Linked DNA regions of Saccharomyces cerevisiae S288C. The protein of the gene in region 3 interacts with the protein of the main gene of each other region in a biochemical or structural test. Each region holds a gene or a part of one and is shown on either strand. Other genes may lie near its edges.

What was found.
Region 1: the proteins of HYR1 (region 3) and TDH2 form a complex in vitro, tested with the Saccharomyces cerevisiae proteins (one study listed by BioGRID).
Region 2: the proteins of HYR1 (region 3) and YBP1 form a complex in vitro, tested with the Saccharomyces cerevisiae proteins (one study listed by BioGRID).

Annotation. Positions count from the first base shown.
Region 1 is NC_001142.9:453,023-456,206, forward strand, and holds TDH2 (glyceraldehyde-3-phosphate dehydrogenase (phosphorylating) TDH2), read right to left. Parts: upstream 1,660-3,184; coding exon 661-1,659; downstream 1-660. Other genes in the region: MHO1 (Mho1p), read left to right, coding at 1-424. UniProt on the Saccharomyces cerevisiae protein: Glyceraldehyde-3-phosphate dehydrogenase (GAPDH) involved in glycolysis and gluconeogenesis. Catalyzes the reaction of glyceraldehyde-3-phosphate to 1,3 bis-phosphoglycerate.
Region 2 is NC_001134.8:655,076-659,275, reverse strand, and holds YBP1 (Ybp1p), read left to right. Parts: upstream 1-1,675; coding exon 1,676-3,700; downstream 3,701-4,200. Other genes in the region: PYC2 (pyruvate carboxylase 2), read left to right, coding at 1-569; ATG12 (Atg12p), read right to left, coding at 884-1,444; HPC2 (Hpc2p), read right to left, coding at 3,959-4,200. UniProt on the Saccharomyces cerevisiae protein: Involved in oxidative stress response and redox homeostasis. Required for hydrogen peroxide-induced oxidation and nuclear localization (activation) of YAP1. Functions probably in concert with HYP1/GPX3, the actual YAP1 modifying enzyme.
Region 3 is NC_001141.2:421,413-424,262, reverse strand, and holds HYR1 (peroxiredoxin HYR1), read right to left. Parts: upstream 1,136-2,850; coding exon 644-1,135; downstream 1-643. Other genes in the region: GTT1 (bifunctional glutathione transferase/peroxidase), read left to right, coding at 1-454; sepiapterin reductase family protein IRC24, read left to right, coding at 1,398-2,189; NRE1 (sepiapterin reductase family protein), read left to right, coding at 2,473-2,850. UniProt on the Saccharomyces cerevisiae protein: Involved in oxidative stress response and redox homeostasis. Functions as a sensor and transducer of hydroperoxide stress.

The DNA.
Region 1 (3,184 bases), on a different chromosome or scaffold from region 3:
TGATTTCTGTCATTGGGGCCGCAGATTCCAATATACTGGGTACGTCGGAAGCAAGGAAGAGTTGAATGATGCCATTCAAGAGGAAACAGAAGTGGAAATGTTAACTGCTAGGAGTAAACTTTCACATCATCAAGTTCCCATTTGGCAATCCATTGAAATAATGGACAGATATGCGATGAAAACGCTAAGTGATACTCCAAATGGTGAAAGGTACGATGCTTGGAAACAATACTTGGAAATCACCGGAAACACCATATGCGGCGAAAAGCCAATTAGTGTGATACTAAGTGCTTTATCGAAAATCCGTGATGCCGGTCCTTCAGGCATCAAATTTCAGTGGCCTAATTATTCACAGAGTTCTCATGTGACAAGTATTGATGATAGTAGTGTCAGTTATGCTTCAGGTTATGTTACTATAGGATAATGATCACGGCTAAAACGGTCGAATGTAAGCATATATCTTTCGATTGTATAATTGTTCCCAAATACTACAGCATCTCAAGGAAAAAAAAACAAAAACTTCCAAAAAAATCGAATCCCTGAGGAATCTTTAATACATTTTCAATCTATTTAAGTTTTATAAACGTGTATATGAGATGTCATGAGCATGAATTATTAATAATAAAAACTAAATCATTAAAGTAACTTAAGGAGTTAAATTTAAGCCTTGGCAACGTGTTCAACCAAGTCGACAACTCTGGTAGAGTAACCGTATTCGTTGTCGTACCAGGAAACCAACTTGACGAACTTTGGAGACAATTGGATACCAGCGGCAGCATCGAAGATGGAAGAGTTAGAGTCACCCAAGAAGTCAGAGGAGACAACAGCGTCTTCAGTGTAACCCAAGACACCCTTCAACTTACCTTCAGCGGCAGCCTTGACAACCTTCTTGATTTCATCGTAGGTGGTTTCCTTGTTCAACTTGACAGTCAAGTCAACAACGGAAACATCGACGGTTGGGACTCTGAAAGCCATACCGGTCAACTTACCTTGCAATTCTGGCAAGACCTTACCGACAGCCTTAGCAGCACCGGTAGAGGATGGGATGATGTTACCGGAAGCGGTTCTACCACCTCTCCAGTCCTTGTGGGATGGACCGTCAACAGTCTTTTGGGTGGCGGTCATGGAGTGAACAGTGGTCATCAAACCTTCTTCAATACCGAAAGCATCGTTGATAACCTTGGCCAATGGAGCCAAACAGTTGGTGGTACAAGAAGCGTTGGAAACAATCTTCAAGTCAGAAGTGTATTTTTCTTCGTTAACACCCATGACGAACATTGGGGCGGTGGAAGATGGAGCAGTGATGACAACCTTCTTGGCACCAGCGTCAATGTGCTTTTGAGCAGTGTCCAATTCCTTGAAAACACCAGTGGAGTCAATGGCGATGTCAATGTTTAGAGAAGCCCATGGCAAGTTAGCTGGGTCTCTTTCTTGGAAAGTGGCGATCTTGTGACCATCAACGATGATGTGCTTGTCATCGTGGGAAACTTCACCAGCGTATCTACCGTGAGTAGAGTCGTACTTGAACATGTAAGCGGAGTAGTCGTTAGAGATGAAAGGATCGTTCAAAGCAACAACTTCGACGTTCTTTCTTTGCAAAGCAATTCTCATAACCAATCTACCGATTCTACCGAAACCGTTAATAGCAACTCTAACCATTTTGTTTTGTTTGTTTGTGTGATGAATTTAATTTGAAACTAAGTTCTTGGTTTTTTTAACATTTAAACAAACAATAATAAAATGAATAGACACACAAGAAAAAAACTATCTTGAATGAGTGCAACCTTTATATATTCTTCCAAACCTACAAAAAAATTGCAGGTCTGCGATCACTGGGTACTATCAAAACACATATTAGCATACGTATGTGTTCGTACGTGCGGTCCGCAAGGTCTTTGTGACAGCCATGACATGATTGGATTGAATAGTTCACTTCAGCTGTCACCACCAGTTTTAGGCCCTAACACATCAGTCGAGTTCCACTAGGCTTTGTTAGCCGTAGCTGCGTTGCAACAACTGCGCAAAACGCGCGACTTCCTGTAAATGCCGCAGATCACGTGGTAAAGAAAAGAAACAACAGGCCGACCCAGTTTCGTTGTTTCTTTTCATTATTTCTGGATGCTCTTCACAACGTATTTCATGACATACTTATTGAATTAGTGGAAGCCCAAAACATCATTACCCTGGAAAACTTAATTGACGTAAATTAACTTCAGTTGTCTTATGTTTTTTGCATCCTTAACTTTAGCCGCGCAGGGATAATCATATATGTCGAAAGAGCAACTAAACAATACTTAAAAACGTGTTTGAACTTTTACGAAAGGGTAACGACAAATAATCATTCACTGGAAAAACCAATAAACCATAAGTAAATGAAAAACTGTTTCAACCGATGTTGGTACTTTCCATGTCTTAAAAGAGTACAATTTATAAATTAATGAAAACACAGAAGTATTTAGATCGGCTCAAATGTTTTTGGACATTAAAAGATCTTGAAACTGAGTAAGATGCTCAGAATACCCGTCAAGATAAGAGTATAATGTAGAGTAATATACCAAGTATTCAGCATATTCTCCTCTTCTTTTGTATAAATCACGGAAGGGATGATTTATAAGAAAAATGAATACTATTACACTTCATTTACCACCCTCTGATCTAGATTTTCCAACGATATGTACGTAGTGGTATAAGGTGAGGGGGTCCACAGATATAACATCGTTTAATTTAGTACTAACAGAGACTTTTGTCACAACTACATATAAGTGTACAAATATAGTACAGATATGACACACTTGTAGCGCCAACGCGCATCCTACGGATTGCTGACAGAAAAAAAGGTCACGTGACCAGAAAAGTCACGTGTAATTTTGTAACTCACCGCATTCTAGCGGTCCCTGTCGTGCACACTGCACTCAACACCATAAACCTTAGCAACCTCCAAAGGAAATCACCGTATAACAAAGCCACAGTTTTACAACTTAGTCTCTTATGAAGTTACTTACCAATGAGAAATAGAGGCTCTTTCTCGAGAAATATGAATATGGATATATATATATATATATATATATATATATATATATATGTAAACTTGGTTCTTTTTTAGCTTGTGATCTCTAGCTTGGGTCTCTCTCTGTCGTAACAGTTGTGATATCGTTTCTTAACAATTGAAAAGGAACTAAGAAAG
Region 2 (4,200 bases), on a different chromosome or scaffold from region 3:
ATATTGATGAATGCGATGTTGCTTCTTACAATATGTATCCAAGGGTCTATGAAGATTTCCAAAAGATCAGAGAAACATACGGTGATTTATCAGTTCTACCAACCAAAAATTTCCTAGCACCAGCAGAACCTGATGAAGAAATCGAAGTCACCATCGAACAAGGTAAGACTTTGATTATCAAATTGCAAGCTGTTGGTGACTTAAATAAGAAAACTGGGCAAAGAGAAGTGTATTTTGAATTGAACGGTGAATTAAGAAAGATCAGAGTTGCAGACAAGTCACAAAACATACAATCTGTTGCTAAACCAAAGGCTGATGTCCACGATACTCACCAAATCGGTGCACCAATGGCTGGTGTTATCATAGAAGTTAAAGTACATAAAGGGTCTTTGGTGAAAAAGGGCGAATCGATTGCTGTTTTGAGTGCCATGAAAATGGAAATGGTTGTCTCTTCACCAGCAGATGGTCAAGTTAAAGACGTTTTCATTAAGGATGGTGAAAGTGTTGACGCATCAGATTTGTTGGTTGTCCTAGAAGAAGAAACCCTACCCCCATCCCAAAAAAAGTAATTTTTACTCGTTAATTATATTTTATGACATCTGAAAATACTAGCTGTACTATATATGGCGTATATTTTATCTAGTTATGTTCCCATGTATATTTAAATGCCAAATAGAAAGTAATCAAACACTTTCGATGAAATACGTGCTAACTGTGTTTCTTCCTTAATGCTTTCACTTACCATGTCTCCATTCTCCATTTTCTTCTTGAGTGAAAATGTGAGTTTATAACGCTCAAGTACGTTAACTACTCTATTTAATATCGTACGGGATTTTTGATCGACTGTAGGTTTTCTTCTTAGACCATTCCAGCGCCCGGGTATTTAACCAAACGCTACGGATGCACAATAACTTACAATAAGCTCATCATTAGTCTTGAATTGCATCCAAAGTTCACCAATATTTTGCTGCGGACTTGGCGCAAACGAATTATTTATATAACAATAAACATGGTCCATTTTCAGCCGTCTCTTAAGAAATAAAATAACCATTGCAAAAGACTGTGACATTGATATTTTACAAACAGATGGTTTTAACTGCCCAATAGAACCAATGGGCTGAAATTTTATCTGTATCTTTTGTATGTTTTTTTCGTCTTTATGGCTTTTTTGTTTGCTTGTTTGTGCATTCGTTTTGATTGTCTCTTCCTGTTCATAAGTGCCACTAGAGGAATCTTCAACTTGCTGGTCGACAGAAATGTCACTCGCCAAACCAAGCTGAGACAATCTCCTGCTAAAAAGTTCCAATCTATTTTGAACGGTATGAGGAGATGATCTTAATTCTTGATTATTTCTGGATCTTTCCATTGCCGTTCCATTATTTGTGGATATGATGGAGCTTTCGTCACTTTCTGTTTCATTTTCGCTCTCTAGGATCCTACTCATACTGTCATTGGTTCACTCTACTGTAGAATATACAGTTAGGGATGTACGTTTATTTCTTCAGCTCAAGTAGCTTTCTGTCAAACACTAAGCGGGCATCCTTCATAAGTACGATTCTTTAAATTTGACAATGTAAAGGAAAAAAATAAAGACTAATTGCCGGTGAACATTATTAACAAATAAACACTGAAAAAGAAAATCACCCTAGACATTCAATACGATACTCAGACACTAATGGAACCAATTGATGACATACTTTTTGAGGTTACTGATGCGTTCAAAACTCAGAAGGAGGATCTTCTTGAGTTGGTAACATTGATTGATATATATGGCGAGCAAGTTAACCAAGAGGGGAGCTATGAAGAAAAGACGAGATTCATTGAAACTTTGAATACATTGTTAGAGGATAATCCGAGTACTACTGGTGAAATCGGTTGGGATCTGCCTAAGGGATTATTGAAGTTCTTGTCAAAGGATAATGTCGATGTAAATGGAAGACTAGGTACGAATATGATTGTCCAAGGTGTAATGAAGTGTTTCTATGCCATCTCAATCCAAGGCGAGCCCAAAAAATGTTTAATTACTGGGTTGGAGTTGCTTTCATCCCTTTGTTCAAAAGATTTTTCCAAGAGTGATCAACAGAATAAGGAAGACTTTGTTGATAAAAAGGCCAATACGTTACCTCCTGAAGGAGTAATCGAAAATTCCTCTAATCGAAAAGATTTTCCATCCTACGGTGAAAGCAAGAGTTCAAATGAATTTTTCTTGAAGTTGAAATCCTACATTTTATTTGAATTCATAGGGGCGAGTCTGAAAAGGATTTCTACTCTGTTTCCTTCGAAATATCTGGGAGCTGCTGTGTCAACAATTGAGAAATTTGTGTATAGTCATGCGGACACTTTTGAAGATGCCCTTTTCCTTCTTCGTAGGGTGTACACATTCTGCAGGAACTATATTCCCCCTGATCCACCAAAAGATATACAATTGAACGAAGATTTTACTCGAGAGATGTTTGATAAAGTTGTGGAGGAAGAAAGTGAATTACAGGTTAGACTATTGCGTAGGCTTTGTACTTTTGGTATTTCGACACCCATAAAAACTGTCACCACCAATGCCGACGTGAAATACTATTGTGCACTAAATCAACAGAAGTTTGAATTATCTGCATATTACACCGAATATCTTGAGCTATTTTGCAGGTATTACCAAATGGCGTTCTCGCTTGATGTTGATATAGAGGGAGAATTTCAGAATGTGATAAAAGAATGTAGGATTATTTATAAGTCTGTACCCCAGGAGATTTCCGCTGTTAATGATGAAGCAAAGTTGGTTTTGGAAAGAATGGTATATAAATTGGCTTATACATTCGAAGTACAAAAGGCCGCTAAAGAAAAAAATGTTGGTTTGGACTATAATGGTGTAATATTATTTTCTGGTATCCACTATTTGGAAACCAATCAACATTTAGTAAAGGAAATGAATATAACGGATGCCATTTATCTCTACTTGAGATTTACAACTCCATCATTATATTCTAAAGTTTACTATAATGTAGCAGTTGAATCAGTTAGTCGCTACTGGCTATGGTATGCTATTACAACCGAGCCCTTGGAGGATGTAAAAAAAGAATTGAAGAATCTTTCAGTGTTTGTTACAAAAACATTATTGCATGTTCTACTTCAAAAGAACTGTATTCAGGTCAATCAGCAGTTAAGAATGATAACTTTCACTCTTCTCACCAGATTACTATGTTTAATACCTGAAAAAGTTGCATTTGAGTTTATCTTAGATGTGCTTAAGACATCTCCCCTTCCATTGGCTAAGACGTCCGTATTATGTGTTTTTAAAGACCTTTCAAGGCGACGCATCTCCACCAAGGATAACGATTCTGAGACGGATTTGATTGTCGAAAAATTATCCAAACTGAAGGTCAATGATAGTAACAAAGCTCAGCAAAGTAACATCAGACATTATATCCAACTAGATTCTTCCAAAATGAAAGCTGTTCATGACTGTTGTCTGCAGACTATCCAAGATTCATTTACGGCAGATGCCAAGAAGAGTGATATATTATTACTGCTAACTTACTTGAATATTTTCATTGTGCTAAAAAAAACATGGGATGAAGATCTACTGAAGATTGTTTGTTCGAAGATTGATTCTAATTTGAAGTCAGTCGAACCTGATAAACTTCCGAAGTATAAGGAAATTGTGGATAAAAACGAATCTCTAAATGACTATTTTACTGGTATAAAATGAAGTTCTTATCTATTTCATTTCCACCAAGATATTGAACATGCCATACTCGTTTCTGGTTTTATAGCCAAGTTTATAGATTCTCTAAGGTGAAATTATCTATTTTTTCTTTCACCATATTATCGGACATAGATACATGGATAGAAAAGCATTCGCTCGGAAAAATCTTCATATAAACTGACTATATACTTTCAGATATAGGCACACTTTATTTCATTTTTTATGTCGTTCAGGGATTTTGGAAAATCTCTGACACAATGCTTATTTATTTTTAACACCACCTCTTTTCATGGTACCATTTGCACGCTCCAAACTTGCATAGTGACCTTTTTCGATTAATGGACCAAAGTAAACAAAAAAACCGTCCTTGGTGGCAGCACGCTGTTCCTCCCACAATAACTCCGAATCATCAATGAACGGATCTTCAACGTCATATTTACCAATCAAATTTTTACCTTTCATAGGATGCGACTTCTTCTTCGGAGAGATGGTGGTAGTTACAG
Region 3 (2,850 bases):
GCATTTTGATCATTCACACGTTTTAATGAGCGAAGATGCTGATATTGCAGACCAGATTAACTATTATCTGTTTTATGTAGAAGGTTCCTTGCAACCACCTTTAATGATTGAGTTCATTCTTTCAAAGGTGAAGGATTCTGGTATGCCCTTCCCTATTTCGTACTTGGCAAGAAAAGTGGCAGACAAGATCAGTCAGGCATACTCTAGTGGTGAAGTTAAGAACCAGTTCGACTTTGTGGAGGGTGAAATTTCCAAAAATAACGGCTACCTGGTTGATGGGAAGTTGAGCGGTGCCGATATCTTGATGTCTTTCCCTTTGCAGATGGCGTTTGAAAGAAAGTTTGCCGCACCAGAGGATTATCCTGCCATTTCCAAATGGTTAAAGACCATAACCTCAGAGGAGTCGTATGCTGCTTCTAAGGAAAAGGCGCGTGCTTTAGGTAGCAATTTCTAAACCGTTTTGTTGCGTTCGTACGGCACTAGCAGCCGCGTAATTCGTTCACACACTTCAATACATATGTATGTATACGTATATAGTCTGTTGCGACACATAATAATTGACAGGTTTGACTAGCGAGTATGTATTATCAGGAAATATAAAAGAAAACTAAGCTTTACCTAACTTCAAAAGAAGAAGACCTGCCTATTCCACCTCTTTCAAAAGTTCTTCGATGGTTTCGGACAACGAAGAAGGTTTGGTTAGTGAAGAGTATCTTTCGTACACTTTACCCTTTTTATCGACTAAGAATTTTTCAAAATTCCATTTGATACCTCTCAAGCCCAACATACCGGATTTTTGGCTCTTCAAAAACTTGTAAACAGGGTCCTCATTGCCACCATTAACGTCAATTTTTTTCATAATGGGGAAAGTCACGCCATAGTTCAGTTGGCAGAACTGGGCAATTTCTTCATCAGAGCCAGGTTCTTGGTGGCCAAACTGGTTGCATGGGAACCCGATGATGGTAAATCCTTCGTCCTTATAACGTTTGTACAAGGCCTCTAGTTCTTTGTATTGAGGAGTGAATCCACATTTGGAGGCAACATTAACGATAAGCACCACTTTTCCCTTTAATTGGTCGAAGGGGAATGGTTGGCCTTTCTTGTCAACAGGTGCTAGCTTATAGAATTCTGACATGATAAACTTGAATACTTTACGAGATGACAGCTTGGAAGAGAGAGACGTGGAAAGCTCTGATGCTGTTTTTATTACTATTGCTTTTCCGATATTAAGGGAGCATACTGTTCCTCATGGTTTTTTCCCTCTTTTTTTCACTTTTTGACCTTTTTCGTAAAGTGGCTAAAAACGATAATGCAGAAAAAGAAGAAGGAATACAGGAAATAAGGGCTGTCGCGAACAGCAACAAGAGAAACAACTTATAATCTGTCAAAGAAGGGATATGGGCAAGGTTATTTTGATTACAGGTGCCTCCCGTGGGATTGGCCTGCAATTGGTGAAAACTGTTATCGAAGAGGACGATGAATGCATCGTCTACGGCGTAGCAAGAACGGAAGCTGGTCTGCAGTCTTTGCAAAGAGAATACGGTGCAGACAAATTTGTCTATCGTGTCCTCGACATCACGGACAGGTCTCGAATGGAAGCGTTGGTGGAGGAAATCCGGCAAAAGCATGGAAAACTGGACGGTATTGTCGCAAATGCGGGGATGCTAGAACCGGTGAAGTCCATCTCCCAGTCCAACTCCGAACACGACATCAAGCAGTGGGAACGGCTGTTCGATGTGAACTTTTTCAGCATTGTCTCTTTGGTGGCACTGTGTTTACCCCTCTTGAAGAGCTCGCCATTTGTAGGCAACATTGTCTTCGTCAGCTCTGGAGCCAGTGTGAAACCATATAACGGATGGTCGGCGTACGGCTGCTCGAAAGCCGCATTAAACCACTTTGCCATGGACATTGCCAGTGAAGAGCCCAGTGATAAAGTGCGTGCCGTGTGTATTGCACCGGGCGTCGTTGACACGCAGATGCAGAAAGATATTAGGGAAACATTGGGTCCTCAGGGCATGACACCCAAGGCTCTCGAGAGGTTTACTCAATTGTACAAGACTTCGTCACTGCTGGACCCAAAGGTGCCTGCGGCGGTACTAGCGCAACTCGTCCTGAAAGGTATTCCCGACTCTTTGAACGGTCAATATCTCCGCTACAACGATGAGCGACTGGGGCCGGTGCAGGGCTAGTACTAAACTATATTATGTAAAAGGGTATAGTTATAGTTTTTAGCTACTAAACTTTTATTGGGTTTGCGATGAGCGACAGTTTTGTGCGGCCATTTCTGTGCCAAGAACCGGATTGAATGTATCACCGAAGGAATTCCGCGGTGTTTTCAAAGAAATGAAGAGAAGACAGTATGAACATTAACTTTTGCATATATATACGTAAACGAAAAAGATCAAGTGCAATGGAAGAATATTGTACCTAAAAAAAAGGGTCTAACTACAGCGTGTAACAGGTTAAAAAAACATGGGTAAAGTTATTTTAGTTACAGGTGTTTCCAGAGGTATCGGTAAGTCCATCGTGGATGTTCTTTTCAGTTTGGACAAGGACACGGTTGTTTACGGTGTAGCCAGGTCTGAGGCACCCTTGAAGAAGTTGAAAGAGAAGTATGGCGACAGGTTTTTTTACGTTGTCGGTGATATTACCGAGGATTCCGTGTTGAAGCAGTTGGTTAACGCTGCTGTTAAGGGCCACGGCAAGATCGACTCCTTGGTTGCCAACGCTGGTGTCCTAGAGCCCGTGCAAAATGTCAACGAGATTGATGTCAACGCTTGGAAGAAGCTGTATGACATCAACTTCTTCAGCATTGTTTCCTTGGTTGGCATTGCGTTACCTGAATTGAAG